4 linked regions of the Schizosaccharomyces pombe genome follow. Changing the gene in region 4 together with the main gene of any one other region gives a genetic interaction. Each region holds a gene or a part of one and is shown on either strand. Other genes may lie near its edges.

What was found.
Region 1: mutations in nse6 (region 4) and pku80 impair growth when combined (synthetic growth defect), as found in Schizosaccharomyces pombe (2 studies listed by BioGRID, with this or other methods).
Region 2: mutations in nse6 (region 4) and rhp18 impair growth when combined (synthetic growth defect), as found in Schizosaccharomyces pombe (2 studies listed by BioGRID).
Region 3: of nse6 (region 4) and nts1, extra expression of one rescues a mutant of the other (dosage rescue), as found in Schizosaccharomyces pombe (one study listed by BioGRID).

The regions. Positions count from the first base shown.
Region 1 is NC_003423.3:4,300,357-4,308,853, forward strand, and holds pku80 (Ku domain protein Pku80 ), read right to left. Parts: upstream 5,047-8,497; 5' UTR 5,012-5,046; coding exon 4,883-5,011; intron 4,839-4,882; coding exon 4,784-4,838; intron 4,729-4,783; coding exon 4,662-4,728; intron 4,622-4,661; coding exon 2,785-4,621; 3' UTR 2,667-2,784; downstream 1-2,666. Other genes in the region: mitotic septin Spn3, read right to left, coding at 1-96; SPOM_SPBC543.02C (TPR domain protein, DNAJC7 family), read right to left, coding at 829-2,259; Npr2/3 complex subunit Npr3, read left to right, coding at 5,673-6,736, 6,802-7,495; bor1 (HC03 family inorganic anion exchanger), read right to left, coding at 7,700-8,023, 8,077-8,421, 8,460-8,497. UniProt on the Schizosaccharomyces pombe protein: Single-stranded DNA-dependent ATP-dependent helicase. Involved in non-homologous end joining (NHEJ) DNA double strand break repair. DNA-binding is sequence-independent but has a high affinity to nicks in double-stranded DNA and to the ends of duplex DNA.
Region 2 is NC_003423.3:1,066,396-1,074,737, reverse strand, and holds rhp18 (postreplication repair E3 ubiquitin-protein ligase), read right to left. Parts: upstream 4,711-8,342; 5' UTR 4,481-4,710; coding exon 3,317-4,480; 3' UTR 3,168-3,316; downstream 1-3,167. Other genes in the region: ESCRT-0 subunit protein HSE1, read right to left, coding at 92-167, 212-339; TRAPP III complex subunit Trs8502, read left to right, coding at 1,311-3,167; DNAJ protein Spf31, read left to right, coding at 4,796-4,846, 5,050-5,628; mannan polymerase I complex subunit Anp1, read right to left, coding at 6,354-7,646; fol1 (dihydropteroate synthase), read right to left, coding at 8,337-8,342. UniProt on the Schizosaccharomyces pombe protein: E3 RING-finger protein, member of the UBC2/RAD6 epistasis group. Associates to the E2 ubiquitin conjugating enzyme ubc2/rad6 to form the ubc2-rad18 ubiquitin ligase complex involved in postreplicative repair (PRR) of damaged DNA.
Region 3 is NC_003421.2:929,795-938,389, reverse strand, and holds nts1 (protein Nts1), read left to right. Parts: upstream 1-3,234; 5' UTR 3,235-3,466; coding exon 3,467-3,626; exon of another isoform or gene 3,627-3,695; intron 3,696-4,105; coding exon 4,106-5,427; 3' UTR 5,428-5,653; downstream 5,654-8,595. Other genes in the region: SPOM_SPCC24B10.20 (dehydrogenase), read right to left, coding at 1-587; SPOM_SPCC24B10.18 (uncharacterized protein), read right to left, coding at 5,752-5,886, 5,940-5,995, 6,278-6,368; COPII-coated vesicle-associated protein Emp24, read right to left, coding at 7,004-7,312, 7,443-7,639, 7,706-7,799; proteasome assembly chaperone Pac4, read left to right, coding at 8,261-8,595.
Region 4 is NC_003424.3:5,295,549-5,301,245, forward strand, and holds nse6 (Smc5-6 complex non-SMC subunit Nse6), read right to left. Parts: upstream 2,233-5,697; 5' UTR 2,186-2,232; coding exon 617-2,185; 3' UTR 501-616; downstream 1-500. Other genes in the region: vma4 (V-type ATPase V1 subunit E), read left to right, coding at 1-156; protein tyrosine phosphatase Pyp3, read left to right, coding at 3,290-3,577, 3,683-4,306; SPOM_SPAC11E3.10 (ER or Golgi multispanning membrane VanZ-like family protein), read left to right, coding at 5,234-5,295, 5,377-5,400, 5,568-5,697. UniProt on the Schizosaccharomyces pombe protein: Acts in a DNA repair pathway for removal of UV-induced DNA damage that is distinct from classical nucleotide excision repair and in repair of ionizing radiation damage.

The sequences.
Region 1 (8,497 bases), on a different chromosome or scaffold from region 4:
AGTATTTATAAACGCAGTTCTTCCAAGACCGACATCTCCAACAACCATCAGGTTCAAGGGGATTCCTTTCTTTGAACTTTTCTTAGTCGTCCGCATCGTTAATTCTATATCAATTTGCCCTTTGGTAATATGGGTTCTTGCAGTGAGTGTGTCATTTGAATGTAGAAACAAAAGTTGCACTACTCCGAAGTCTTCGTTATATGTATACCACATTTCACTACGATCTTTTATCAATACCGTGTCATAGTAAGGTAGGATGAACAATCAAAGAATGTATTGTACGTTGTAAAAGAAAATGGTAATTACAGAAAAATTAGTTACAATGATTATTGTACCTTTTTAGCTTAACGACACAATTCAGCAATAGTTACTTCACATAAACCAACTGACGACTGCTTATAAATAGTATTAAATTAAGAACATTAATCGGGAAACACGAAACGATTACTTTTAATGAAACCACAATACTAGCGGTAAATAACATAAGCAGTTTAATATTGATAAGCAGATTTATTTACAATACGATCAAGATTCCAAATGATTTATGGCTCGACAAACGCTAAACGTAAATCAACAACATCCGGGAAAAAACTGCAAAGATAGATACAGAAAACAAAAAAAAATTCGGGCGTAATAGAATACATATTAGGTATCGGTGTAATTACAATCCGAAGTTGTCTGACTCACGAATTGAACACATTCACGAGTTTTTTTTTTTAATAGATGAAATGTGTAATAATGAAAGATAGGTCGGAAAAAGTTATGAATCTAAAAAAAAAGATAGGAAGAATGAAAACGGTATAAACAAATCGTGAATTCTTTTCCAACTTAAGAAAATTGAAAACTTGTAAATCCAGGGAAACCACCCCCCATGCCAAATCCCTGAGAGTTGTACGAACCTCCCGGGAAACCACCGCCTGGGAAACCACCTCCTGGAAAACTACCTCCGGCTTGGTAAGCCCGAAGAATATCAAAAGGATCCATTCCGGCACCTCCCTCCATACCAGGTTCAAGATCGACACCCGAATCAAAACGACGTCGGCTTTCTGGGTCAGAAAGAATAGTATAAGCCTCGCCAACTTCTTTAAAGCGTGCTTCAGCCTCAAGATTGCCAGCATTTTTATCAGGATGATATACCAGAGCTAATTTACGATAAGCTTTCTTAATTTCAATATCGGTTGCTTCCTTGGAAACACCTAAAATCTTGTAGTGATCTTTACGCTTCGACTTTTTCAATTCTAGCTGAAGCCGGCGTAATTCTTGACGCAAGTTAGCATCGCTCGCATCTAGTTCTATAGCTGACTGCACGTCTCTAACTGCCTCTTCCCACTTTTCAAGAGCTTCGTGAGCCTTAGCGCGAACTTTTAAACCTTTTAAATAAGATGAATCTATTGCCAAAGCATTGTCACTGTCACTCAAGGCTTCCTCCGGTCGTTTTAAGCGTAATAACACAGTAGCTCTATTCATGTACAACTTGGCGACAGTTTCTTTATTATCAGGATCAATTTGCAAAGCCTCAGAATATTTTTCGTAAGCATCTTGGTAATTACCTTGACGGAACAAATCATTTCCTTGATTTTTGGTGTTCTCGAGTTTACGAACTTGCTTGAATAATGTTTTGGCCGTAGTGCAATCAGGATCTAATTTCAATGCTTCTTGAAAATGGGTAATAGCCTTCGCATTCTCACCCGAATAATACATTACTTTACCACGGAGGACTAAAGCTTCTACGTTCTTAGGGTTAAGTCGTAAAACATCGTGTGCAATTTTTTGAGCACGATCCATATCGTTCTGAAAAATATATACCTGCGCTTTCAAATACATCCACGACATTGGGGGTTGAGTAGTACTATCAATACGACGCTGAAGGCGATCAAGAGCATTAAGAGCTAATCCAGCTTGCTTATTTTTCAAATACACCTCTGCCTCATTTAAAATTGATAGACCTTCGTAAGCCTGACGAATACGAGATTGTGTTTTTGGAACGTCTGGCTTAATACGGTCGGACTGTTTCGCGTCACATAAAGCCAATTCAAACTCACCAATCTGCATATAAGTAGCGGCACGATTGGAATAATAAATCGCCAACGCTGAATCTGATCCTAAATCAATGGCTTCTGTATAGGCTTTGATAGCCTCTGCATATTTCTTTTCTTTATAGAAAGCGTTTCCTATAGCCTTTTGCTTTTCAGCTAGCTCAGCAGGCTCTTGTTGGCTCTCTGTACCTGCATTCATGTGTGTGGTTTCGACTTCAGTCATTTTGATCGAATTAATTTAAATATTTAAAAAATTTAAATTTTATTTAAAATGACAGAAAGTTCAGGAACGCTTTCCAATCGCCGAAGCGTAACAGATCAAAAAGTCAGTGGTAGGTAAATAGATACGACCAAACTATTAAATTTTAGTATCACTAATAAGGAACACTGCTGTAGCTCCTTAAGCATGTCCCCGATATTTGTCCAATTCGTGAAAGTAAGTCTAAAATGTTCTTTGAATAATGTAATTGTGAAAGATAGAATATAAATAAAAAAATGCAAGGAACTCTCACCAAGTTTTTAAACGATAGTTGTGTTTTCTGAAATATCATAGGTATGTTTACCTAAACTACTTAAGTTAAAACTATTTTCTATTTTTGCGACCGTGTATTCTATATGCTAATAAATAGCGGATTCATGACTTAAAAATTTTTATTAGAAATTTGGATAAAAGTAAAAAAAATATTGCAAGTATTTAATAAAATTTATTTATTTATGTTCGAGTAAGACAAGTCATTGTTGTCCTATGCTAAATGTTATTAAAATTATCATGTCTAGTCAATTCATCATGGAGAATAATATCTAATCCAGATGATCTTATTTTGTTAATAAGCTCATTCTCCTTGGGTTTGTTATTTTGCATTACGTCCTTTTTCAATCGAGTAAGATACTCATTAAATCTTTCAACTTCGTCTTCCAAAATTGAGTGTAACCTGAGAGATTGCAATGACTGCAAAGCAAGATCGTACTTAGACTTGTCAATAAGATTTTTAATTACTTTTTCCATTTCTGTCAAAGCATCCTCTAGTCCAAAAGGGTTTTTCAAAACTTCAGTGAAAGTGCCTACTGGGTCTTTTTCACTAACGTGAAGGACTAATAATTTTTCTCCTTCCTGTTCATCGAGACCAGAATTTAGTAGTTCTTCTATTTGTTCCTCTGATATTGGGGCGCCTGTGTCGAAGGCTGTTTCTTGAGAAGAATATTTTGGTTTGACGGGGACGTTCACTGTAAGTTTTTCCTTAATCAACTTCAAGTCCAAAATGCAATTATCAAGTAAACTTTTTGGAGGATTGGTGTAACGTGTTAAGTAAATATTTGGTTGAGGAAGATCGCCTTCTGGTGAATTTGCATAATAACTGATAGCTTGTTGAAGTCTATGTGGTATCATACTAAAGGTATTTTCGGGCTCAAAAGGAGGATTGAACCCACAATCAGAGGAATCTAAATCCATATTATCGATATAATTACTTACGGCAAAATCAATTTGTCGCATATCCTCTTCATTTGACAGTTTCTCGAACTCTGAGAAAGAATAAGGCCGAACATCTTCAGCGAATGGAAGTTGTATATCAACCAAGTAATGTCTTTTAAACTCCACGTAAGGCATCAAGACCAGCAAAACTGGTACGCCCTTATCTTTAGAAACAAACCTTGCGAGCGCATATCGGTGTTCACGTTCAAGGGATTGAACAAAGGCAGAAAAATTTAATTTGCTTTCGAAGTCATCTTTTGGAACGATTATATTAGTATCACTAATGGTATAATAAATTGGAAGACTAGATTTAGGAATAAATCCAAGGATTTCATAACCGGGTATTGTATCTAAAGCCAATACGTCTTCATCTGATCGGCTGATCGGGACGATTGTCCTACCATAACTATAACCGCTTTCCAAGTCTTCTCTTTTAACCTCAAAAGAATCGTTTGTTTTTGGATCACGAACCATGTACGATCGAACAGTAGACACTGCATCAGATTCCATACTTTTGTTTTCCACATTTGAATTTTCGATATTAAGACATTCATAATTTTTAGACATATCGTTTTCATAAAAAGCAGATGATGTTGGCGGTTTAGTTAAACGAGTTCTAGGATATCTTTCAACCTGTATGCTTATAGACGTATCTTTGCTGTCTCTATTACCAATACTAAATGTACCTCTAAAGATTGCGACAGGTCTCACTTTACGAACCCAAGGTTTACCGATGTTGTTATAAATCTGTTGAAATGTGCAGTACTGACCATGACAACTCTCAACAAACTCTTGAATTCGAACTTCGTTTTCCTTTTTCTGAGATTCCTTTAAAGGCTCAGAATAATTAATATCTTCTTGATCAAAATCAACTCCATAAACACCTAGAAAAACATCATGCTGCAGTAGTTGTTCGGCAATTCCAATGTAATCACTAAAGTCGATAATCCCCCTAGCTGCCGTAAGCACTATCATCTTCTTCTTCCATTTGTTCTTTTTACAATGCCGAGCCATCAAATCAAAGGACACAACTATTGCAGATATCAGATCGCCTTGCATAGTATTGCTTGGTTTTAACGTTTGAGAAACGGATTGTAGCTTTGAAAATAAGGCACTAGTTAAGAAGTTAATGGAGCATTTAAGAGAAAGCTTACGTTTGTATAGGATACAAAACACTGATATTCCAATAGGCTTCCTGCTCAGCTAAATCATTTTTCGTATCTAAACACCGTAAAAGTTAGAAGTAGTGTACCTTTAAAACATTACAATAGAATACCATCGCATTTGTAACCAACGATTCCAACTACGTCTGTCTTCCTATTTGCTAAAAACTGAGTATGTGTCAATAGGGTGTCGATAATGTTGAGCAAAATACCTTATGAGACAATTCGTCGTGAAAATACGACAAAGTCCATTCGAGATCAGAATGAGACCTGCCATGGTGACAGGTCCCCATATCTTTGCCCAAGTCAAGTACAAAAACAGTACATTCCTTATCACTCATACGAATTGTTAAGGAATACAGATTTGGTGGAGGTCAAAGCAAGGTGAGATTTGTTGTAGAACATTGGGGCCTCCGATGCTTTCAACAGTTAGATATCAATTACACGGTCATTTTAAATGATTCAGGTATTTTCTTCGCGGTATGAATATACTACATTAACAGTAAGTCCAGCAGCATATGTGCAAATGCACATGTGACTGAAATGTAAATAACCCAAAACATTGTATATAAATTAGTCAATTCATTTTTATAACTTAAATCAGAAACTCTTGAGAATTGAATTGGAGCTATTAAAGTTGCTAAGGTTTTACGCACATTAGAAATTTTGCATAGCGATGCTTTTACTTTCAATTCACACATTAATTTACAAAGCCGTGAACTCATATCTCAAGATGTCAATAATTAGTTAACATTCAGTTTAACTATTCATGTTAGATCTTATTAGTTTTGTACTAGGCGATTAAAACACCGAGCTGCCAGATGCATATCGCTCACAAATCTTTCGTACTACACGCAAATTACCAGAAAACGATACCACCCCCTTGAGGTATAATGTTTAAGGTGATATTTGGTTTTCTGTTGTGAAAAATATATTAAAAAACACACATATGTACTTCAATTATCGAACATACACATTTATACTTTGTTTTAAAACGCCAAAATGGTACGCTTAACTCCTCGATTAGTAGCCATTTTCCTTGTTGAAAAAACAACATCAGGAGCTAATTTCGTCTTTCACTGGCCGCTACAACCTCAAGTACGTCTACAAGCCACTCATCATAATAATGATTCAGCGGAGTCTGCAATCGGGATGCTCGACCTTGATGACAGCGATGATGATGAGAATAATAGGTTTACTGAAGTAGCTGACGATACACATGTACTTGGTTATGAAAAAGGCTTTCTCGCAAATATGCTAAGTCCTCGTATTGAACTTTGCAATCAAAAATTTGAAATTTGGGTGGATGGTCTTACTTTTTTGGGATGTCCTGTTCATATTGGTCCGAACGGTGAGTGGGCTAAACGAAGGAAACCACGAACTACTGTTGAGTCTAATGCTTCTTCGAGCCATTTGGTATCAAAGCCCGAATCTTCACACCCTTCGACAGGAAGTTTTGAAGTAAAATCATCTTCATCAAAATCGAGATCTTCAATGTCTTTATTTCATGTCGTCTTTGTATTAAATGTGCCTACAGCTACCGTATATCGCCCTACTGTAAACACGATGTATGATCATATAGTAGTCAAGTTAGTTACTGGACTTAAATATGAACAAGCAAAACGGAATTATGTTGAAAATGAGTGTATACACATCTTAAAACTGACTGAAAAATATTCAAGCCAAAACGTCCCATTCGATGTGTATGCCGCTCAAATCCCTCATCACTCAAATCTTGCTTCGGTTCTTGCTACTACATATGAGGCTTTAATTAACATGCATACGGCTTATTTAGAGATAAATCAATCGATTAACTTAAGCTTACTCTGGCCTATGTCGGTTTCCACCAACACACTTGAAAATTACGAACTGCAGGTTAGACCATCAACTATTTTAGCATCTCAAACCATCTTCTCTGAAGAACATCCTTCCTCTATTGAACCTTTCGTTGCCCCCTATTGGACTTTGTTGCTCTTAAAGGATACAGACACTATAATGAAACGTGTTCCTCTTTTACAAAATTCTCTTCTTTCTTCTTTCATTGCCATAGTAAAACCTAACTTAACGTAAGTTTTGTCAAGTCTAAACAAAATTTATTATTGCTATTAAATACTAACTTACAATATTTCAGGTTCACAGATATCGCTAATCGTCTAGGAATATCAGTATCAGAATGCTTTATTCTAGCAAAACACCTTATTCATTGGAGAAAGGCTATCGCTATTCCTCCTTTGTTAATCCGGAATACTTATGTTACATCCCCAACTGCTAATCTGTTTAATTTGGAGGAGGAGTCAAAGCTTTTTAAAAAGGAATTTCCGAGCCTTCCCTCACTGTCAACATTTTTAGCTATTTTGTCGTTTAAACCGCGACCATTTGCCTCCATTATTCCATCGAAAGATCATGAGTTAGTTTATTTGGAAATGCTTGCTTGGCTGTGTCGAAGAAATTGGGTTTATGAACAGAATATCTATATGTATATTCTCGTTCCAGAAGAAATTAAGAAAAAAGCGATTGCACTAATAGAATCTGATGAGTCTTCTAAAAATGACATGCAGCTTAGAAAGCAACTTGAACAAGATAATGGCAAAGAGTCTATTATCATTGATCCGCACTCTGCCTCTTTGCTTGAACAGAAATGGATTCAAATTATAGCTTATGAGAGGGGACCAGAAATGGCTCCATTGTTTACGTCAATTGTCAAATATTTAAATGGTAGGTTTGCTTTACAAACTATATGGGTTGCCGAAGGCTTACCAAGGAAACTAATGCGAAATATTCTTAATGAGTATAATGATTACATCCTTCGATGGCATTCTTGGTGAAACTACGAAAGTATAGCTTGGACTAGCTTATTAATATTTAATCAAAATTTAACACACCAAATATATTACCATTGTACGATATTAGTAAATTAATTATTAGAAAACGTCTTTGAAATCAAGTCATGACAAATACCTAATTATACAACCTATTCCATCAAGCTTTTTTTATATTTTATAGAAGACCCCATCTTTAAAAAAAGTAGATTATACTTTTTGATAAGCAATAATTCCCACATTTTCGTCTAAAATTTCAAGATCTTCTTCAAGGAACCATTTAGGCATACAATAAGTCCTAAATGGAATCAGTAATAAAATAATAATAGGGAAACCAATGGATGCTTTATCAACCTGAGTAATTGCAAAGGTAGCACCAAAACCTATTAATTGCAAAATAGTGTATAACCAAACTACGCGTTTTGAGCTACAGTGGTTTAAAGTATGGTTTTTAGATACCACCTTTCTGTCACTTAACATCCAGATTACGTTTTGAGTGATACCGTTGCCAAATATTGCTGAAAACCCCATCACCTAAAATTCAGTTAGCAAAATATAATCTTCCCTTCAAAAAAAAAAAAAAATACCCAAAATAATCCTGCTAAAACACATTGAGGAATTTGATGTAACACCAGTAAAAGTGGACCAGTCATGGTGCCAACAGTCATCAATCCCTGAATGAAATTACTAGCTCGTTGTTCAACAACTCGATCTATAACTTCTTTATGCGTTTTTTCAATTTCGTCTTCATCATAATCAACCCTTTTAACACAAAGTGCTGCAGTATGCATGGGAGCCTGTGGAATAAGCCCATTTGGAGCAGGAATACCTAAAATACCACTCACTCCAGTCGTTATACCAAGAAGAAAAAAATCCCAATGAAATCCAGCAGGTTTGGTTAATGGAAACGAAGGATCTTGTGCCATTACAGACTACTAATGTTAAAAAAAGGAAATTAAACAATACATACAGAAACGTTATGATCAAAATAGAATAGGATAGTGAGAA
Region 2 (8,342 bases), on a different chromosome or scaffold from region 4:
GTAAAGCACAGACAATAGTATTCTCAGTGGTTCCAGATTGAATAATCATAAATTGATTGCTTCCTCCTCCTCAAAAGTGGTACAAACATACCGTCAAAGCCAACAATTGAATATTAGCATTCGCTGTATCCAGCCTTTTATTTAAAAATTTAATCGAGTTCCGACCACTACCAACCAGTTAGTGAAACGACTCTGATTACGATTAACTTACACATCTCCAGAAGTGCTAGATAGTTGATCGCACGCATCCATTATAACGTCCCATTTCTCTTTAGTATTCTTTTCATCAGTGGCTTGTAAAATAAGGGTCTCAATAGAGTTGGGTTTTCCTCGAAACATATTGGTGAAGAAGAGATGGCGGCGACCACTATGCTTATCCAAGACATATATATAACCTTGTAATAAATCGAGAAATTTTAGATCAATCAAATTGCTACTTGTTCTGTTAAAGGTGAATTTAATAAATTTCTATTTAGATAAATTCAAAAGCATGGTAAAGTGGTTGGTTTATATAGTCAACATTCATGGGTGCTTCTAAAAAAGAACTTGTAGCCGATTTATTATTCTTGGTTCAAAAATACGAGTCAATTTTTAAATATTCAGTAATATTTATACTTTTTGGGTTAAGCTTGGGTTCCTTTTAGAATAAAAAGACAGTTTCACTACCGAGTTGTATTTTCATGCTCAAGCAAACTGTATATTTAAAATACTGCAATACTCTAATCGGTCAAGTGTTTAGATTTTCTAACGAATGATGATGAATATAAAACTATGAAGCAACATTAAACCCTTGTCCTCATATATCAATTTGAGAATTCATTTATATATCTATTAAAACTAGTGTATTATAGTCGCAGCTTGCTGTTACTATATTTATTTCATTATTTTAAATAATATGTAAGCTCACCAAAAAGCATTACATTTCATTTAGCATTGGTTAGCATTCAAGGCTCAAACTAGGTGAATTCAATGTACGATATTTGTCGTCTAGATGATCGGTACAGTCCTTTTACATAGCTCTCTAATATACGAACAAAATACTCATAATTTGATTAATTAGACTTTTATTAAATGAAATCGTTTTTTTCTTTTTATATTCAATTAATTATGTAGTGACCTAGTCTGCTGTCAAATCTCGTACATCCTCTCCATATACCCTTGAGGTAGTTAACTTCTAGTCTAAAAAATTTGTTGATAAAGGTGCATTGCATGTATTCTTCACTACATCAGCTTTGTAATAAAGTCATTTAAGTGTCGGATTTCGAGTTTTTAATTGAAAAAGCTTGAATTTGACATTTACTCAGCAAAATATGGAAAGCAACCTTTCCGCCAAAGGTATTTTTCAACATGCAAGTGCTAATGCATCAGGGGAATTGTTTCAAGAGCCCGTAACAGAAGATCTTGAAAAGGTAATGCAGTCGAAAGGACTGTATTCGATGGAGGAGTTGTGTTCCATCATCCAAGAAGCATATGCTCCGCGAGTTTCGGTCCTATGTTCCCGAGATGCTGACGAGTTTGCCATGAGGAAGGGATATCCTAAGGGGTTTTGGGAATTGTTGTATCCTTTTGGAGACCGTATTCGTGGAAAGGTAAACCGTAGAGGAATGAATGGAGAAATGCTGACGTTGGAAAATTTAAATTTACATTTTGTCCCAATTGATGCTTTAGAAAGCCACTTAAGTGAAGCATCTTTTCCTTCACTTCGCTCGGTTTTATGTGAGCGATATCCAGGTCTTGTTTCACCTGAACCCCCTTCAGATTATTCCTTTGGCGTTCATTATAAAAACGTTGAACGATGGGCTTGGACATTGGCTCATGAAGGGAATTACCAAATGCCACTTCCTGTCTATGTGCGACAGTTACTAACTGGGATACCTATTACTCCTTTTGAAACTTTTTCTCATCCCGTTGCTCACCTTGTCGTAGTAACTTCGCATAATCCTAGTCCTTTTGAATCTCTCAGATCTTTGATTAATTCGATTCCCTACCTTTCCCTTCCTGCTTTCGTTTTCAATGATATAAACTACCTTTTCGTATATGTTCATGATGAAGATCAACATGATTTGGAGCTTTCAATGGCTATATTTGATACGATGAAGCAGACATTTGGAGATTGTGGATACTTTCTTCGCCTTCATTCACAAAAGGCTACCTTAGATTATGAACATACCGTTCCTTTTCCAACATCCTCTTGGTTGTCTGCTGAAGAACGTTTACACCTTTTATCTAATACGGATACTGAAATACGATTACTCTTTGAATCCGACAATGAATCACTGCGACGGTTATCTTCGCACATTGCGTTCAACGGAATTGTCTCTTATTTGGACAAATGCGTAAGAGCATGGGATGATCAATATGCTTCTCCGAGACGAGGGATTACCGGTAAGCTGTTATTTGCATCCAGAAAATATTTATCTAGTTCGAATGCTTCTACCAATTCTAACTATTTCCCCTCATCTAATGCCTATCGTCCATTTTCACCAGAGGCATATCTTAGGAAACTTGCCGACTATTCCTTCATGCTACGAGATTATTCTCATGCAAATCAGATTTATGAAATTGCATCAAGACAGTATGAAAATGATGGTGCTTGCTTATATTCTGCTGCCTCTCTAGAAATGATTGTAATAACTGAACATATTTTACACCTAAAAATGCCATATATGAGTTTGACGAACACATTGAGAATAAACGAGTATATGCAATCTGCTATGTTAAATTATTTGAATAAATCCTTCAATTCCTATTATCATGCTGCGCGCTGTTTCCTTCTCCTGGGACAATTCCTTAGTTGTTTACCAGCTCCAAAAGTGGACGATGCTGCTAACTGGAATGCAGGTTTGCTTTATTCTAAGAGATTGGGTCCTGTAGGAAGAGCAATGATCTTTCAACAAACTCACACTCTCTTTAAATCCCTTTCTTATTTAAAAACTGAATCTACGGACCCGTTCTCTAATAAGCGAACTCGTAAAGCCGCACTTTGGTGTGTATTAACTGCCGATGCTTGGTTGAGATGTCGCATTCCCTTTCGTGCCAAGCCTTTTGTAGAGGAAGCAAAATTGTTTTATGGAAAAATCGATTGGAAGGATTTGAAGGAGTGTGTTGCAGCACTTGACGAAGTCGAAGTCTCCAAACAACCTGCTTCTAATATTCCTTCTAGCTAGAAATGCCCCACTTTCAAAATGTATATTATTTTATTTACCAAATATCAAAATTTCTACAGGTTATTAATGTGATTATATATAGCGAAATAAACTAATAAGTTAATCTGATAATGAAAATTCGTTAAAACGAATCCAACGAAAATTAATGATTAGGACTGTGGTCCATCGGATCCCGTTTGTGAATTGGTAAGGTCAATAGTAAGAGGGGGACTAACTGAAGTGGCAGGAAAACCGTTAGATGTAGAAGGTTCGGTGGAAGATTCAACAGCAGTGTTCCTCAATGAATCATTTTTGTTAGTTGTTGATTGTTTTGCACGGTTGATGAGATCAGCAAAATCCTCAGCGTATGCCTTCTCCCAATCGCCCCCTCCTAGTTTTTCTTTTTCTACTCCAATTGATTTCGACTGAACGCGCTCCCAATCTATAAGTTGGCGAATTAAATTTCTTTTTGAAACAGGTTGTTTCTGGTCTAAATTAGAATTGTAAAGGGTAACCCATTTAGCATGTCGACGTTGTAATAGTTGTTTATGTCCATCGGTTGGAAGCCCCATCTCTGATAATTTGGAACGAATTTTTGATTCGGAAAGGAGTGCATAAGTTAGTTTGGGAAGCCGCACTCGATCTTTCAAGGGTAGTTCATCTGCAGAGTTAAACGACCTTAACCTGCGCTTCGTGATAGAATCATCATCTGTTTTGAATGATAGTAATGAATTAGATTTACTATTATCCTTATTTTTATAAGGTGAGGAAGAGGAAGACGGGGAAGAAGGTGAGTTAAGACAAGAATCCAAGTGTTGATTAATTTGATTATGAGGAACTAAATTTGAACATGCAGGGCAGTGAACTAAATCCTCACGTTTCCTCTTTTTAGAATCCCTAGATGTCTTTTTAGCTATAGAAGCAGGAGATGAATTTGAAGCCAAGTCGTCTTCCCATTCCTCATCGCCAGAAGCTGAATCCTGTGCGATAACTGTTTCAGGAGCTTGAAGTACTGGCTTTGGCACATTTTCTACTTTTAAGAATTCAAACAATGTTGGCCTGATCACTTTAAAGGACTCTAAAATCTCTTCTAATATAGTGTTTTTTCTTAAGCGGCTTTCTTGCTCAGGAGCACGACAAGCAGGGCACATAGGATGTTCTCTCAGATAATCGCGTATACAAAACGAACAAAAGGTGTGTGAGCAAGAAGTAATTAAGGGGGCGCGAAAGTATTCATGACAAATCAGACATCGTAAAGAAGAATCCAAGCCCTTCAACGATGGTATTTTCGTTTGGTTCCAATCAGATGGATCTGTAGCATCTAGTTCATTCATCTTATTTTAAATTGCAAACCCATTAATAGTTAATATGCACTAATATTCAAACTTAATTAGGGATTCGTAAGAGCACTCTCGGACGGTAAATTTTTAAACCTTAGACACATCGATATGTAAATGAATATGTATATTCATATACATTATTACATTTAAAGAACAAATGTAAAGAACCTGTTTCTAAACGTACTTACAGATTCTTACCCTCGATACCAGAAGTTGGCGAATGCAAAACCTAACTCACCACCAAATTTATCTATAAAGGATTTTTGAAATTTGCACTCTTGTAATTTCAATTTTGGGGCTCGGTCAGAAATGGCAGACGTTGCAAAGTTTTTAGATCGAGTTGAAGGAAGTTTAAACAGAGTAAGTTTTAGCATTTTATTGACATTGCATGTGAAGATTTCTAGATGTACCTTAGTAGGTTGATTCGATTTATCTTATTCTCAGAATTTTTTTTTTTTTTGTTTATACAGATTATATACTACAATGAAACAATAGAATAACTTTGCCTATGCGTATATTACTTGCTAATCAAACAAAGTCGATGAATTCTAACCTTTACTTAGGGACGTGAGATTGACAGAATATTGTCTTCCTTTAAATTAAATGCATATGATGTTCTTGATATTTTGCCAGGAATGAGTGTTGATGATATTCGAAATTTGTACAGGAAAAAATCATTAATGATTCATCCAGACAAAAATCGCGATAACCCAAAAGCTGCAGACGCATTCGACATTTTAAAAAAGGCGGAGTCTGATCTAGTTAATGATAAGATTCGGGAATCTCTTGATTCGGCTTACACAGCTGCAAGGAACCAACTATTGAAAGAAAAAAAATTGTCTCCAAATTCGGAAGACGTCCATTCAGACCAGTTTTTATTTGATTTAAAAGTACGTTGGCGTGAAATCCTTATTGCAGATGAAGTTGCAAGAAGACGAGCACGGCAGCTCGATTTAGCAAACCAGCAAAGAGAACAAGCGCGTCAAGATGAAATTGCAAGAGAACGAAAGCGTCGTGTAGAATCAGAAAAGGTTTGGGAAGAGACAAGAGATAATCGTGTGGGAAATTGGCAGGATTTCCTTCACAAAACGAAGAAAAATAACTTAAAAAAGAAGAATAAAAAACCAAGGGTTCTTGGATAAAAGACGAAGTTACGCGTTTTATTGTACATTAAAGCTTCGACGACTTAACCTCTTTTAGTATTTGTACATGACCTATGCGATTGAAATGATTTAATATGAAGTTTTCAACAATTTATAAATTGAAATTTCTTTTCATGCTACGTGAGCAGATTACCATTAAGTAAACTAATCAACAAATTCTACTGAAATTTGCTTTTCGACAGTGATATGTATCAGTATCGTAATAGAATTAATATGAATGCCGTTTAACCATGGTAACTGCTTTGTATATTTACAGCGTTCTATGGCATATATTCCTAATGGGTGCATGTAAAGAAAGAGAATGATTGCCCTACCCACTGTCGAATAAACAACAAACTAAAGATGTTTGTATGTACAAGGCTTTTTGGAGGAAAAAGTCCTTAAAGAGAGAATAAGACCAAGAGCTTCCTTTTTTTCCTGGCATAGCATTAAAGCGCACCAACTGAAGAAACAAGCATCATCCTAACGTGCATCCCATTATGAGTTCGTATACCAAGTTAAAAAAAAGAGGGCAGAATAACACTAAAATTACTAATTATGTCTTGATCATATGTTTAAAAGAGATAAAAAGAAATAAGAATAAAGAAAAAACGCGACCATCATTATATATGTAAGTGAAAAGGGGCAGCGATTTAAATAAAGAAGAGAGAGGACTGTAAAACATGGTTACTGTGCTCAGGAATTTTTTTACAAAGTAAGGGAGCTTAATCAACATGATCGTCTGCATGTGCCAAAGGACCTTCTTCAGCACCCTGATCATCTGGTTGCGTGAATCCAGCAGTCTGATACTTTTTAGCCTCTTCAAGCTCTGCGGCCTCCCTTTCTTTCCTTTCGCGTTCCATTTCAGCCATAATACGCTTATCATCATCGCTAGGTTCATAAATATGCCAAATAACATAGTGAGGAAGTCCGTAAACGGAAAACCCCATCCGCTTAGCCATTTTTCCAAATCCTTCGGTTTCAGCATGCTTTTCAAATGAAAATGCGGGAAACTCGCAACCTTCTAGGTGTACTTTAGCTTTAGACATAATAGATACACCACCAATACCATCCAGTGGCATTTCAACAGATGGGTCACCATTAGGATCACGAAGGTAAGCCAAATGAGGGCGCCAGGTAGCATACTCTGCGTATCCTTCTACAATAACGTCGTCTTCGCCCAAAGTATCTGCAAGCTGAAGAGCAGTCTCAGATTCAGCCCATGAATTTAAATCATATGGTTGCTCATTGCCCAACCAATCTGGTAAGGGTCTATAAACGTTAGGAACAATAATGTCTTTATCATGGCGCATAAGATCCTCCAAAATAGTGTTTGGAGCAGTCTCCACGTCAACATCTCTCCAGTAAACCCAAGAATGGTAAGGCTGTATAGCGGCTGACAAAAGCCAATTACGAGCACGAGCCATTAATTTCCTTCGGGGACCTTGTGCCGCAAATCCATGACGGTCACTGAATTCTTGACCGAAAATAGCACCGAAGTCCTTTAGCATGATAAGGACATTGTTAAAATGCTTAGATTCGTCCTCGTCATTTTGAATAGCGTCTAAATGTTGCTTCAAAACCTCGAGAGTATTATCATCAGTGTCTGAAATTAGAAAGGCAAGGTCTATAAGTTCGTGAGGATAAGTCAGGTTATTCATGTGACCAAAAAACATATTAAGATGTTCTGCAGCATTTCGAAGTGGAGCACAAATCAACACCTTTTCTTTCGGTGAATAATCTCCAGTAAATTTAGCGTTCATTACTTTTCGCAAGTCATATTCTTGCACATCAGAATTAGGAGCGTTCGCGGTAGAAGAAAAACTGGGAAATTCACCAAAAGAAGAGAAGAATGAACGATGGAAGAATAAAAATAAGACCAGTGTTAAAGCAATTATCCCAACAGTTCGAATGGTTTTCTGTCGGAATATGGGATTTCCGCTGGATTTAGGCTGGAATCGATTCGGCGTAATACTAAAAGGGCCACCATCTCTTCCAAAGTCTCTATTTGCTTTCATTGTGGAAGAGATTAACAATAAATAGCTTTATAAAGCAGTAGTGGCTACTTTACCAAAGGTACGGGGTTGGTTTAGTTTAAAGTGGTTGGTAGTATATAAATATAACGAACGCGAAGGCTAAGCAAAAATACCAAAATCAAGAATTTTAGAAAAAATTGGAGACTGTGAATTTAAAGAATTAATTTAAGCTTATTAATACTTAAACAGTACTGTTTTTACCAATGCACGAAAAATAAAAAAGGCACGTGCCAGGTTTTTAAGCAAGCCGCGTTCCAATGTCTATCTTCTAAAAAAAAGTAAAAGCAGGAACATTTTTGGTACAACTATTCATTATATCTAAAAAATTTACAATTGCATCTGCAAGTGCGTGTATAATTGCCACAGTTATTTTCTCTTCTCTTACAAACATAATCCTCGTTAACTAAAATTACAATATGTGATGATATAATGAAACTAATTTTATTCAACCTGTGAATATTAGATATCCAATTCAAAATTAAATTGTTAACAATATCCGTGAACATTGTCAGAAAATGATACTACATTGGTTATTGATAAATTCTCGGGTCTACAACGACGAAAGATAACCCGTTGGATTTGATTTATTAAACATAACCAACTTCTTACGTTAACTGTTGTTTTACAAAGTTTTCAAAATTATATTAAACTTGGAATTTTAGAACAAAGCAATTAAGG
Region 3 (8,595 bases), on a different chromosome or scaffold from region 4:
ATGTCAGTGTTAACTACTCCAGGGTGAATAGAAACTACAACGAATCCATCTTTCTCTAACTCAAAACTAATTTCTTTCATCGTATAATTTAAGGCTGCTTTAGATTGCCCGTAAGCCGAGTATGTGTTTGGACGAACTCCTCCCATGCACGCAGCCATTGATGAAGTAAAAACAATATTCTTTAGCTTTCCCTCCTTTAACAAGTGATAAAAAGCTTGGTAAACATGAATAGGACCTAACACATTGGTTTGATAATGAGACATCCAAAGCTCGTCTGATGTTTTCAAAACAGGTTGGAAGGATTTCGATATCCCCGAATTCACCCAAAGAACATCAATACATTTTACTACCTTTTCAACCTGCATGGCAGCGTCTTTGGCACTTCGTAGAGAAGTGACATCTAACTTGATGATATGTACATTGGAATGGGTCTTGCTCCAATCTTTCAGTTCAGAGGCAGATCCAGGTCCACGAGCACTTGCAAAAACAGTTACTCCTTCCTTATTGCTTAACTCTTTGACTAGAGAAAGTCCAATGCCACGGTTTCCACCCACAATAACGTAAACTATCCCACCAGCAGCCGACATGTTTTAGCATAAAATGACTCAAAAAGATTCAAGGTGATGATTTTTTTCAACAATAATTCTTTATATCAAGGTCAGTCGTCTTGCCTAGCCTACTTGGTTGGAGGTGTAAAACAGTTGCGCTCACGCATAATGTATCAAGTCAGAAAGATCTGCAAATGCATCGTCGCACAGTTCTTAAACTATAGTCACTAAACAATAATACGTTATTATTTAATCAATCAATATGCTTTATGAATGACATTATGCTCTTTTGCCCAAATTAAGCCCTAAAGTCGTAGCTGGTATCTCTAGTCTGAGTTTGGGACAGCAGTTTTAAAGTAAAAGGCTGCTGAATTCTATCAGGTATCATTCCTCCATTTGCTACTAGATAAAGCTACTATAACTAAAGAATTGGCAATACATTTCGATAATAAACATACAAACAATGTAGCGGATTCACATTTTTATTGCTACAAATTTACCAACTGGTGCTAACTTGCGTTGTCTAACTATATATCGATAGTGAAGGTTTTTTTTCTATTTCATATAAGCAACTTAATGACAGGCTACGTTATATTTCAATTTGCAACTGACTTTATAAAGGAACCTGACAGAATGTACAGCTACTGTAACGTTTTGAAAGGTGCTTCGTAAAGTAAATATAGCGTTTTGCTTTATATATCGCTCCTTTCTTTCTACACTGTTAATCTACTTTAGTAGGTAGGAAAGGATATCAAGGGTGTAAGAAAATTTCATGGTTTTTCTGTTGTATGTTCATTTATTTTATATTTATGGAGTGTTTTGTACGCACTAGCTCTTTTAGTGTTTTATTTTTACTGCGAGAAATGTAATTTTCATTCTTCCTCTTTTATTTATATATGTGTTTTTTTTTGGTAGATTTTGTAAACATCATATAGCTTGTTAATGATCAGACTTTATTTTTTTAATATTTTCTTTTGTTAAGCAATTTCGTTTAAAAATAAACATATCCGACTTTGATGCTTCAAAAATTTAATGTAATAAAATAATATTCCTGTTTTTGAATCTGGGTTAAAATCATATCGGATACCTTATAAAATTCACTGATCATTTAAAAAAAAAAAAAAAAAAAAAAAAAACCCCCCGAAAACATACAATTTTGTTAATTTTCAAATGCATTCTTTTGAGGTCAAGCCATATTTACTTTTATCCCAAATATTAAATTTAAGTGTCATATGCAAAGTTGCAAATTCGCCGACCGTAGGGCTATCAAAACTGATGATGTTTAAAAATTGACTAATGGAACAAATTTATCTTGAGATGAAATGATGTTGTTCAAAATTAATATAATTTTTTTTTGCTGTTTCCTCTTGCTTTATACGCATTTTCCTGCACCTCTCTTTCAGAATACACATTATTCTTATTTGGTATTAAGATTCACCAATTGATAAAATAACACCTAATTGTATGCCACGGCTATCTTGCTATTATTGTAATTTCGCTTTATATTCGATTTTGACGAATGAACCCTGTCAAGTTGGAAAATGCAAAAGCAGTATTCTACCGTTACCTCTCAGTAGTAAAATGACCTTCCATCGATGAAATTCTCTAACATTCTCTTCGTATTTAAAAATGTATGGATCGTATATTCCTTGCTTATCCACGATTCATGAACAATTAAGATTTGCTGAATGGGTAACACATATTCTGCGTTACCTCGTATAGTTCATTGTTAATCAATGTTTAAACACTAAATTTCCCATCTCCCACTGTTAATTGAAAATAGGTTTTATTCAATAAATTACCATTTAAAAAGACATGTTATTTTAAGTTATATATTTTATGAACCTAAAGATTGAAGTAAAGGCCTTCGGAGCCTTTAGTTCCCCTACTATGTGCCTCTACTCGCTTCTTGGGGCTTAACTGTAATGTAGTATTGCCAATTACACAAAAAATTTATATTGTTCTTTAGCTTCTTATAATTCATTTAAATGAGAGGTAAAAAATTCGAGAAGACATTTCAGAAAACTACAGAAGTATCCATTTGTTTGAAATTAACTGTCCTAATGCAGATGAATCCTATGTAATAGAAATATTACAACCGTGGCTATAAAAGAAGTTGAGAGTTAGTTATACGTAAGAATATCTTTTAAAGATTTCAATCGACATCTCACATGATTCATCAGTATTAAACGTAAAAGTTTACATATTAGTTGTAGCACTATTCGTGATAAATGAAATAGTAAACCAAAAAACGAACGAGGAATAATCTTTTCATCACTAGAATATTAAAATTATTTTATATAATCAAAGTTAGAAAGATTCCTTTAGTTCCTTGAAATATTCTTTAATTATTATTGCAGCACTAAGGATTGCATCACTGATATGTCTCAGTAATGATTATCAGAACGTCTGGTAATAAAGCACGATCCTCTCTCTTTTTTTGTTCTGACTCTCGTCAGGATGAATTCCTTCTCAAAGTGCCGGGAGGAATTGCTTTGTATTTTTTGTACCGTACTTACATTTTATCGTATACTTTCACCTTAGCGCTTTTGGTGTCAAAACAATAGAGATGTAAATTTTAATAGAAATTAAAGCTTATTGGAATTTTTGTTTTCAAGTGTTTTAACATGTAGTGATTGTGTAAAGTATATGTTTACGTTCTAGTAATCGACTACCGTTGAAACTTGCAAACTACCAAACAGTATTGCAGACAGTGAATCAGTCGACGGAGCACTTGAATCAATTTGTTAATAATATAGAGATTAAATTCACAATTTATTGACACATGATTAACTGAATTCATTAAAATATTTGTTTTTTTGGTATATATTTCCTTTCAATACCCTCGCTATTTGTTTCTTAATAACTGAAGACAACATTGATCTACTTAATATATATGACTCAAAACTCACAGAGTAATGGTGAAATCGTGTCAAAAAAAACCGGATATTGATGAGTTCTTTTCATTTTTGCAGAGTGCATTCCATCCTCTACAGACCGAGGAACTTGATACATTCGTTCGCAACATTTTTGAATATGACGATCGAGGTCGTTTGTACAACTGCCTTTTAACTCTAGGTAAGAATGAATATTAGATATAATCAAGTTTATTTTTATCGCTTTTTCTAAAATTGTGAATTTTCAATTGATCGTCGTATGCTTGATAGCAATTTTGATGATCTTTTATCAAACATTTTGCACGCCTATAACTCTAAGGTTATATCAATTCAATTTTCTCAAAGAAACATATAAAATTTTACTCTATTCATGACTTGGCATGAGTGGTTGGATGAGACTGTGGCGTTGGTCGTTAATTATATTTTTTGTTGTTTCTGTTCGAAATTGAATGGTTGATTTCAACATTTAGCCCTTGGGTTTTTATTTCCCTAGGAAAAATGTTTGGGAGATTTAACCGTACAGTTTTCTGTAAAGCAAATGATTGTATAAAAAAATTATGATGACTGAAAATTCAAATCTACTACAATGTCACTTGAAAAATCGATTTCTTTTTTGATGTTTTATTTCTTTTTTATTAAAATTTCTAACCGTTAATGCAGTTCCTTATGAAAGACTTCCAATAGATGCAGAGGATCTTAGTAGTCGAAAAACCTATGCGCGTCCCGTACTAATCCGACAATACCGCAGTTTGCGGTTTGCCAACAAAGAAGAAAACATTTGTCGGCTAACTCCCAACTCAGCGTTCGTCCCTGTTCGAGACTCTGCAGTCGCTAGCATTTCAACCTCAAAAGTGCAGGACTTTAACTCCTATGCTACTCTCACTGAAGCACAGAAAAAAACGGCCACTCCCGTTGAGGAAAAAAACTTCTTAAATCAAATTGTCATACAATGTTTAGACTCTTTGGAAACCGACGTTGAAACAAATACCACGCATGCTACTTTACTAGCCGTTGACCCTACTTGGTTAATCCGTGTATCACAGCATACCTGTGATCGGAAAGCTGTGGCTAATCTCTGTATTCAGTATGGAAGTCAAATATTTTATGATCCATCATTTCGAAATGCTTATGAATTATGGTCCAATCCTTCAGTTCTTTTGGCTTTTTTGAAGGCCCAAAGAGTGTTGGTCGTTTCAGATATATTTACTTCGTCAACATTGAGATCAACACAAGGGACGCCAATGTCTTTTCCTAATTTAGCTTTGGAAAGCGCTGATAATGTCGAGAACGTATCAAAGCCTATTAACCCTCGAATGGAAAGGTTTTCATCAGAGGTTAAATCTTCGAGTATTCTGAAACAACAGATTGCAGCCGTTGTTGAGAAAATCAATTATGACATACGCCCTCAACGTGATCAAATCCCTGAAGAAAATATCGTACCTAGAATCTCTTACTTAACAAGTACCACTACTTCGACCAAATCATCACCGGTTCCCGAAAGCACTACAACAAACACAACTGAAGTGCTGAAAGAACTTAATGACATTCAAGAGAACAAAAGCAGAAAAAATGTTGAAAAAGCGACTGCGGCAACAGAAGAAATGCTACGTGGCCATCACAAACCGGTAGAAGGAACAACGGCTACTTCGGAAAAAGAAAGCATTAAAGAAGAAGTTGATTTAGAAGTTAACGGTGACGGGAAAGTTGAAGCGGAAGAGAGAATAGAATTGGAATCTTCCGATTCAGAGAAAGAGCTTTCAGAGCTGATTGATTTTCTTAAAAGAGAACACCCACCGGAAGATACTCCAGAAAAACGAGTAAAGATTAAAAGAATTAGAACATTACTCGACACATGGCAGCAGGAGTGGAGAATTTTAAATAAAGCCATTTCAAATGCAGAGTCAAATTCTGGGCGAGGACAGAACTCCAAAACGAAAACTACTTCTGTAAACTTATCGCGAAACAAACGAACGAGGACTTAAGAATGTTTAAAAGCATTTTTTTTGTGGAACATAATTATTAATCTTAGAATTACGAGCTTTTTATTTGGAACACTACTGAGTCTAATTATTTAAAGAAAATTATCAAACAACAATATTTGTATATAACGTTTACTCATTTCCCAACAAAATTAATTTATAAATAATAATCAAAAATGAACCGAATTCCCTGTATACTTAACCATAATAGTAATAAAATTCCAAAACCAATGCTACAATTCGATAAATGCAGTATGATCAAGTGTAGCCATTTACCTCCTTTTGAAAAGGAACAAAACAGTTACACAAAAAGAAATACCAAACGACTCAATGCTTTCCCTCCTTTAACTCCTTGGCACCAGCTTCACCTAATGCCTTAGTAATTGTCAACTTGCCCACTTGTTGAGACGCAATTCCGGCAATTAGTTTCTCATTGCGAACATTTAATGTTTTTGTAATGTTCTTTAAAGATATTAGCAAAAAGAACATATATAAAAGTAAATTTTAAAACATACCGCATTAATTGTATGGTCTTTGATAGCAGCTGCTCTTCTAGGGGCACAATAACGAGCTAAAAGTCAAGGTTAGTAATGAGTATTAATGATGAATGATAAACCATATAATATGATATCTTGTATGCTTAAGAGTAAAATGATTGAAACGTGTATCAAAAAATTTAATGAAAAATTTTACTATAATGAGTATCTAAAGTTACGAAAAGATGAAGAGTTTATAGCACCACAAAGGTTGTCCAACAACTTCAATGAGCTTAAAATATTAAAAGAAACATCCCTAAACCAAATTCCCTAGCATACAAAGATCACCGAATATTTGACAGTTGCAGCTGACATACCGCCTTTTTTAGGATTCTTGGAGTGTTTTGTAACACGTCCGCCCTTGTTGGCACTACTATTTTTCTTCTTTTTAAATTCTCCTTGTGCCATTGAGTTACGATAAATGGTAATGGTTATAGTTTGGTGTAGTAAATGAATTTTCATAGATACTTTGAAGGTAACATTAGAAGGAGGTAACAAACATCGCCATGAATACAGCAATAAGTAATACATACAAGTGGCATTACAGACTAAATAATTCGTTTTATAAGCAAATGTATAATGAGGGAATTGTTATACTGTTAATGTTACCGTCTATAAAAAAAGTGTACCTTTAGAAAGATCGGAATGCCATAAAATGTGAAAGTTAAAGTGCAGTGTTTCCCACAGTGCAGAATGATTTAAGAAATTAAGACTTTAAAATTCATTAAAAAACACGTACGTTTGCTAAATGATTGCTTCAAACATAACGAATCTTTTTTTTTAAAGAACAGGCGAGATCATAAAAGAAAACATTAACCTGCACAAGTAAAAGACAGATTAAAGATTCAGATTGAAAGGGAAAACGCCAGCAACCGACAGGAAATAAAATTTTTTAAAAAAAATTTAGTCGTCGGTGATGGCCAGCTTCAAATAGAGACCAATTATAATACTTTTTGCTGCTCAAGCAGAATCTTGAAATTACGACCGTCGTCCAGTCGCACGGAAAACTTATTGCGAACAATAAGTAACGTTATGCGGATAAACTATACAACACGCTTTACTTCGAAAAGTCGCTTTAAGTAGAAAATTTGGAATACACATACGGAAACTAGAATAACGGTTTGAAGAATACTCCACCACTTGACGCGGTCATTTGTGCTTTCAGCAGTATTGCGATGTATTCTTTCACGAGCCACAAAATACTCCTGCTCATGTTTTACCTTGGAGATGGTATCATGGAGTTGGCGGACCTTGCCGAGTAAAGGATTGTTAGCATCCAAATCTTCATCAGAGATATATATAACACCATGCACATTGAATAAAACCTCCTTTGATTCACCATCGAGTGCATCCTATTGATGTTGTTAGTTAAGATTGTACATCTAGCTGTTTCCGGCTCAACCATCAAACAATTAGACGACATGGGAAATGACGACCATAATGCCAGGCTTTGATGCCAGAAAACAAAAAGATAACACATACATTATAGAAACAATACATGTATTTCCCTGGGTTCTTAACGGTGAAAGAATATTGGGCCATAGAGTTGGGAACCTCTTGATGCATAATTTGACCCGCAGGATTGTAGATACTCATAGAAACAAGCTGATCACCACCAACGTTTGTTTGATAAGTGACAGACATTTGATCATTATTCCTCAAATTTTCATAGAAACATTCTAAGTTTGCTTCATTAGCATTGTATACTCCATGAATCTCAACACAAATACACTGAAATTACATACCTCGTTGATGCGGTTTCAATGTAATGCCATGACCGAAAACAACAGATATAAAATAAGCACATAACACGGCTTTAAATACGTTAAAAAACGCCATTTTGCAAAGTAAAGCTCTTTGCTCTTTGAAGCAGCAAGAATGAGGTCTATGGTAGAGGAAACGTACAAAGCACTAGTTGGAGGGCAACCGTGCATAAACAAAGCACAACTGTGAAATTAGGCGACGCTACGTTAAATTTGCTTAAGAAAAAATACGATGTCTTTATAAAAAAAACGTAATACGGTATCTTTCCTTATTTCTGTGGAAATTATTAAATCATTCTTGTCTTCAGAGTATAACTAGTAATTCTCCAAAACTTCGTTTATTTTGTATTTAACTTATTATTGAACATCAATTCATTTTATTTTTTTTTCTCTCCTATTAATTAGGTTTTGCATGAACTTGCCATTTGTTCGAAAACCTTTACTGTTGTATTCATAATATTTTTGCCAACATTTTAAAGCCACACTTTGCTTGTCCTCTCTTTCTTTGAATTTTTAAAAAAAAATAATTGTTTTACCATGTTTCAAGTCATCCAAAAAGAACTTGATTTTGGGAATGCAATGATACCAAAAGTATGGATACAAGTCATAAAGCTGAATCCATCCTCTTCTATCTTTGTATGGGGAAGCAATGTTTCAACATGTCCTGCAGGTGATTTAGCCCTTTCCATGCCAGGTAAATCGGATGTCGTTACTACCAAACTTACTGGTGCTGGCTCAATTGACGATCTTTCTACTCAAATGTCTCGGATCCTCTCCAAAAAATTTCAAGCTCAAGTCTACACTAGCATAAACCTTCAAGGGGACTTTCCGAATGATCCTGAGGTCCAATCTGTTTTTACACAGGTTATCCG
Region 4 (5,697 bases):
TCTGTGCTTGGAGGTGTCGTTTTAGTAGGTTTGGGTGGTAAAATTCGTGTTGATAACACTTTGCGTGCTCGCTTAGAGATTGTGAAGGAAGAAGCCCTTCCTGAAATTAGACGTCTTCTCTTCGGTGAAAATCCTAACCGAAAGTTCGATAATTAAATTTTGAGATATCGTCATTTGTTTCTTTCATGACATTAATTTCTTTTGCTTTATCTTATAATCTTTCTCAAGTTCATTTAAAGCATTTATCTATAACTTGTTTCAAATTTTTGCTTCATCCAAGTATTTAATGCTTCAGGCTAAATGATCGCAAGTTCGGCTTCCATTGTTTTCTTAAATGTGGATTGTGTATGATTTCTGCTGATTCTTATCATAAATTATTCCCATAGCTGCTTTCTATTAATCAAGTGGATACAATATCTTTCAATGGATGCTAAGTTTTGACTATCGTAAAAGATGGTAACTTCTTTCTTCTTTTCTGTCCATTTGTAATTCCAAGGGAATTATAATAAGTAACTTTCTTTTAAATTAAACTATGGATTTCTTAGTTAGAAAGTATTATACAATTTGTTGAATTTGCGCCAGCACTGAAATTAATATTAATAAATACACTGATTGTTTATCTTTTGTACGCTTGCCGTTTATTTTTCTTTTTTCCCTTCTTCACCTTTTTAGCTGAAAAGCTTTTGTTTTCTTTCATCGATAAGTTAGAAGTTTTATCCTTGAAATACCTGTCCTTTTGTTTATTATTATTGGGCAAGTCACTTTCAATAATCCTCTCCAATTCTGGTGCTGAGTTTGTATTTAAATAGTAAAGCACCATAAAAAGTCTATGTATGCAATCTTTAACTTCACATCTCGATAGTAGCAAATGGTCTGTTGAACCAGATATTGTTAAATCTATTTTTCGTAATTTTTCCAGTAAGCACTCTAAGCGCTCATTAGTTTTAAAATGCTTTTCATCCACCGCATATCCGAAGGTACGAATCTGGTACAATAAAGTTGTATAGTCATTATTACAGGAAGCGGAAATTTCATCTAGTCGTTGACATAAAGAAGAAAAGTCTGAATCATCATTTTTACTTTGTTTCCCAACAAATAATGTAAAAGCAATCTTCTTTCTGAATTTTTGGCAGGAACGAGACAAAGAAGATAGTATTGTAACCCAAACTCTAGGACTTTCAGACACCTTATGAATATTACTGATCAAAAAATCTGGATTCAATGATATTGGAAGTTCCATGAATTGAGAAAATTGCCATTTACAAAATGAGCCCACTTGATTGTCAATTAAGATTCGACATGCATCCTGAATCATTTCAAAGCGAACAGTGTCGTCGGAGAACCGATACAAAGTTCCACAGCATTTTAGGAAATTAATTACCTTAATTTTCAAATTGCTTTTTAAATTTTCTGAGGCTGACGTACGTTCCAACTGGATTGGTACCTGTCGTTTCGCTAAATCAATGCCAATCATATCTGCAGTAGTCTCAAAAATAAATCGTACAATTTGGTTGAGATTATTAGAGCTGCTTTTATAGCTATAAAAAATCTTTTCTAGGTTAGCAATCCATTCAGAGCATGTTGTGTCTCCTAAAGAGCGGAAAAATTGCAAGCTGCATATTGACAATGCAATATCTAAGGGGACCAATTTTGCCGATAATAAATCACCAAAAGTTGTTGGTATAATTCCTTCATTAAACTCCAAATCGTTATCTTTCAAGCATTCTGCTTTCAGGGTGTTCCAGTCTGGAACACGAGCTTTTGAATTGCTACAATATTCGTACCTAAGGTCGTCATCATAAATAGGGTTAGAACGTAGAACATTCAAAACATTTGATCCAACACTTTTTCCTATTAATTCATCAATTTCATCTCCCGTTTGAAAGGTTTGAGTGCTGTCATATTGCAATAAATTTTGTACTGCTAATTTTCTTCTTTTTGCAACCGAATCGTCAATTGTAGCAGTACTAGAAAGAAGATCAATATTCCATCTGTATGTAGATGAATTAGAAGAATCATTTTTCAAATACTGTTTTCGCGATTGGGCTCTTGCCGAAGGCACCAAAGAAGAGATATCAGGAAGCTCGTCCAACTCTTCAGAATCATCACTATCAAGTATGTGGTCAATTAATTTTGAAGAATTATCTAAATCAGGAAATTTTGAAATGTTATTAGACGCATTCATAGAACTATACCAGCAAAGACACTTTTGATGTGCTTTGGTAAAAGGGTGGATGGATATATAACAAAAATTATGAAATAGTAAATAGTGGAAAGTAAACGTTTATAATTTAATTATATAGCATTATAGTTTGACGACGATTGTTTTTTTGTTGTTTATAGTCTCATTTCATCCAATTTGAGCATTCCAAGCAAATAATATTAAACATCGAGTAAATTATTGATTTTCTTATTAAATGAATAATTTGTTAGTTTATAGCATTTCAACTGCTATTACCGGAGAAATCATAAACATATCCAAGCTGGCTTCGTTGATGTTTACATATGACTTTTCTTAAGCGAACATTCAAAAAAAAAGAATAGAAAAAACCTGTCATAAGCTTTTGTTAACAATTAATGATTTTTACTAATTCTGAGTTAAAGTTATTGGAAACCTTAGAAGAAAGAACACCTAAAACCAATTTAGGCACGTTTTCATTCAAAGAAATCTTTACAAATTACATTAAAACCAAAGAAGCCAAGTAAGGGAGTCAAACGAGTCAAACACAACTCCTAAAGAACAATGGCGACATTCAAACAGGCATTTAATGAAACAATTGCTGAGCAAGTATTATAATACTTGGCCTTATATAAGAAACGTCAAAACTTTTCTCTACACTTTAAATATTTTTGTTTTTGAAAGTAAAAGTATAGCAGATCGATTAAGTCCTTGGAGAGAACATAAGTGCGTTTAAATCATTTTATTCACTATCATCAATACAGTTGTTTACAACCTATAAAAGTATCCCACATATAGCTTGTTCTTCATACTACCGGCTTCGTAAAGGTTCGAGTTACCCCCACATAGACATTCGCAAATACTCTGGGCCTAGTCCTACGAAGTGAATGTGAACGTGAACTAGATTACGACTACAACTAGAAACTAGCGCTATGTGGGGGCCGTACAATGATGATTTATTAAACAATTATACTTCTCTTTTTTACTGACTTCTGTCATGGTTTTAGGAATCATTTAAAGTCGTTTAGTAGAAATTATTCTTTCTTTTTGATAGACACAAAAAAATACTTCGGTGAGAAGTTTAAAAGCGAATAAACGCAAAAAATCAATATGTCTTTTAAAGAAGTATCTACAGAAAATGGTGTTCTAACACCCTTGATCACAATAAAAGAAAAAGCGTACATGATTATTGAGGGACTCAATGAGGAAGAGATAGAGCTGTTAAATACTAGGTTGCCAAAGCTAAGTAAGAAAGCGCTGGCTAGAAACCGATACTCCAACATAGTCCCTTATGAAAATACTCGTGTTCGTTTAGATCCAATGTGGAAAGAAGCATGTGATTACATTAATGCTTCCATAGTAAAAATCCCTTCTGGGAAAACATTTATCGCTACTCAGGTTAGGAATAAAAAGAAATTGCGGGATTGTAAACGGCTTTGGCCTTTTTTCTTTTCATCATTTTTTGTAACATAATTACTAACTTAGTCTTCTTTATTTATATAGGGTCCAACGTCGAACAGTATTGATGTTTTTTGGAAGATGGTCTGGCAATCTGTGCCAAAATCAGGCATCATCGTTATGCTTACCAAATTGAGGGAACGCCATCGTCTGAAATGTGATATCTATTGGCCAGTGGAACTGTTTGAGACACTTAATATCGGTGATTTAAGCGTTATTTTGGTAAAAGTTTATACTTTGACATCATTAAATGAAGTTCAAGTTCGTGAATTTGAGCTGAACAAGGACGGGGTCAAGAAAAAAATTTTGCATTTTTACTATAACGGTTGGCCTGACTTTGGTGCACCACATACCTTCTCACTACTATCACTGACTCGCTATATAAAAAGTCTCTCATATTCTCCGGACTTTGAAACAGCACCCATTATAGTCCATTGTTCAGCGGGTTGTGGCAGAACGGGAACTTTCATGGCGTTATTTGAGATTTTATCTCAAACAGATGACTCTACTTCAACTTCGAAATTTGAGGTGGATAATATCGCAAATATAGTTTCCAGTCTTCGGTCACAAAGAATGCAATCTGTTCAATCGGTCGATCAGCTTGTTTTTCTTTATACAGTATCTCAAGAGCTGCTTCAAGGGAAGGAATTTCTTCTTCCTCAGTTATAGCCTTTGGTTTAGAGTTTGCTGATAGTCGATTCGATGTTAAAAACTCGTCTCATGAATTTTCGAATTAACATTATATTATTTATAAGAGGATCTTCTTTTTTTTATTCAAAATTTATTTTATTTGTCTAGCACGTTTTATTTCTTTGATATCCAGTTTTTGGACCGCTAATGATTAAAAATGATTTCAATTACTTTATATGGCACTATTTCTTTAGAGACCTATAAAATGATCAATAAAACGTAAATATGAATACTATTTTTATTTTTTATCTTATCGAAGGTTCAAAAGTCATCTATTGTTATAATTCGTAATGACAAACACAACTATCTCCAAAATATTATAGGTCGTCAATGTTTGTAGCAGTTCATCCTTTGTGATTCATTTATAGATTTTTTATACAAGGCGCTTTTAATTTATTAAAGAATTTACAATAATTTGCTGCATGGAATAAAATTGACAAAGAAGTAACCACGAATTTAAATGTTCATCGCAAAAAAGTTGAATGAACGCTTTGGCAATTCTTTTAATTTTCTTGACCACGTACCATTTGACGTGCAAACTATTAGTACTTTGGCATATAGTGAAGCTGGGTATCTGTGGTTATTGATATTAATACTGTTTAGTACATATAAAAACCTTGTCAAGTATGAAATTCAACTTTCCCATTTATTCCATTACATATCATATAAATTGCTATAAAAATAATAAACAAACAATAAACTTCGTTTAAGGTACTGAATTAAAAGTGCTATTCGGTAAGTTTAGTCGCTTGTTGGTCGATACTACGATCCGCTAAGCCCAACAAGGCTGGTTCAGAGGAAGTAGCTTCTTTAACCGTACTACCCACTACTTCTATTACAGACAGTCGTTTTCACTGTTTTTTTCCATAAAGTTGTTGATTGAATGCAATTATTAAATTCAAAAAAATGATGCTCCCATCCTATTTACATTTTGCTATACGCAAAAAGGTCTTGGCGATATTCATAGTGTAAGTAAATCAGGAAGTGCAGCTTGCAAGATTAAAATCATTCTTTACGATTCACATCTCTCTAACCAATTTTCACTTTAGTTTGCTTATCATTTCTGCTTACCTGTAAGTAAACTCCGCACATGTAACTAGTTTCGTTTTTAAATCATTCGTATTCGTAACGCTTTGCTCCTTATTATTACTTTATCGAAATTCAGCCTTTTAAAGGATTTATTTTTTTTGAAAACAATTATATTGATAAATGATTATGTTACTAAACACATTGTATTTAGAGGGTTTGCTCCTGCTTTACCGGTTCCTATAAACGACAAAGTTTGTCACTTTTTTGTCTTCTTCTTGTTAACTCTTGTGTTCTACTGGGTCTTTGATTTATCTCGTCGTCGAGCAACTCAACTTACTATA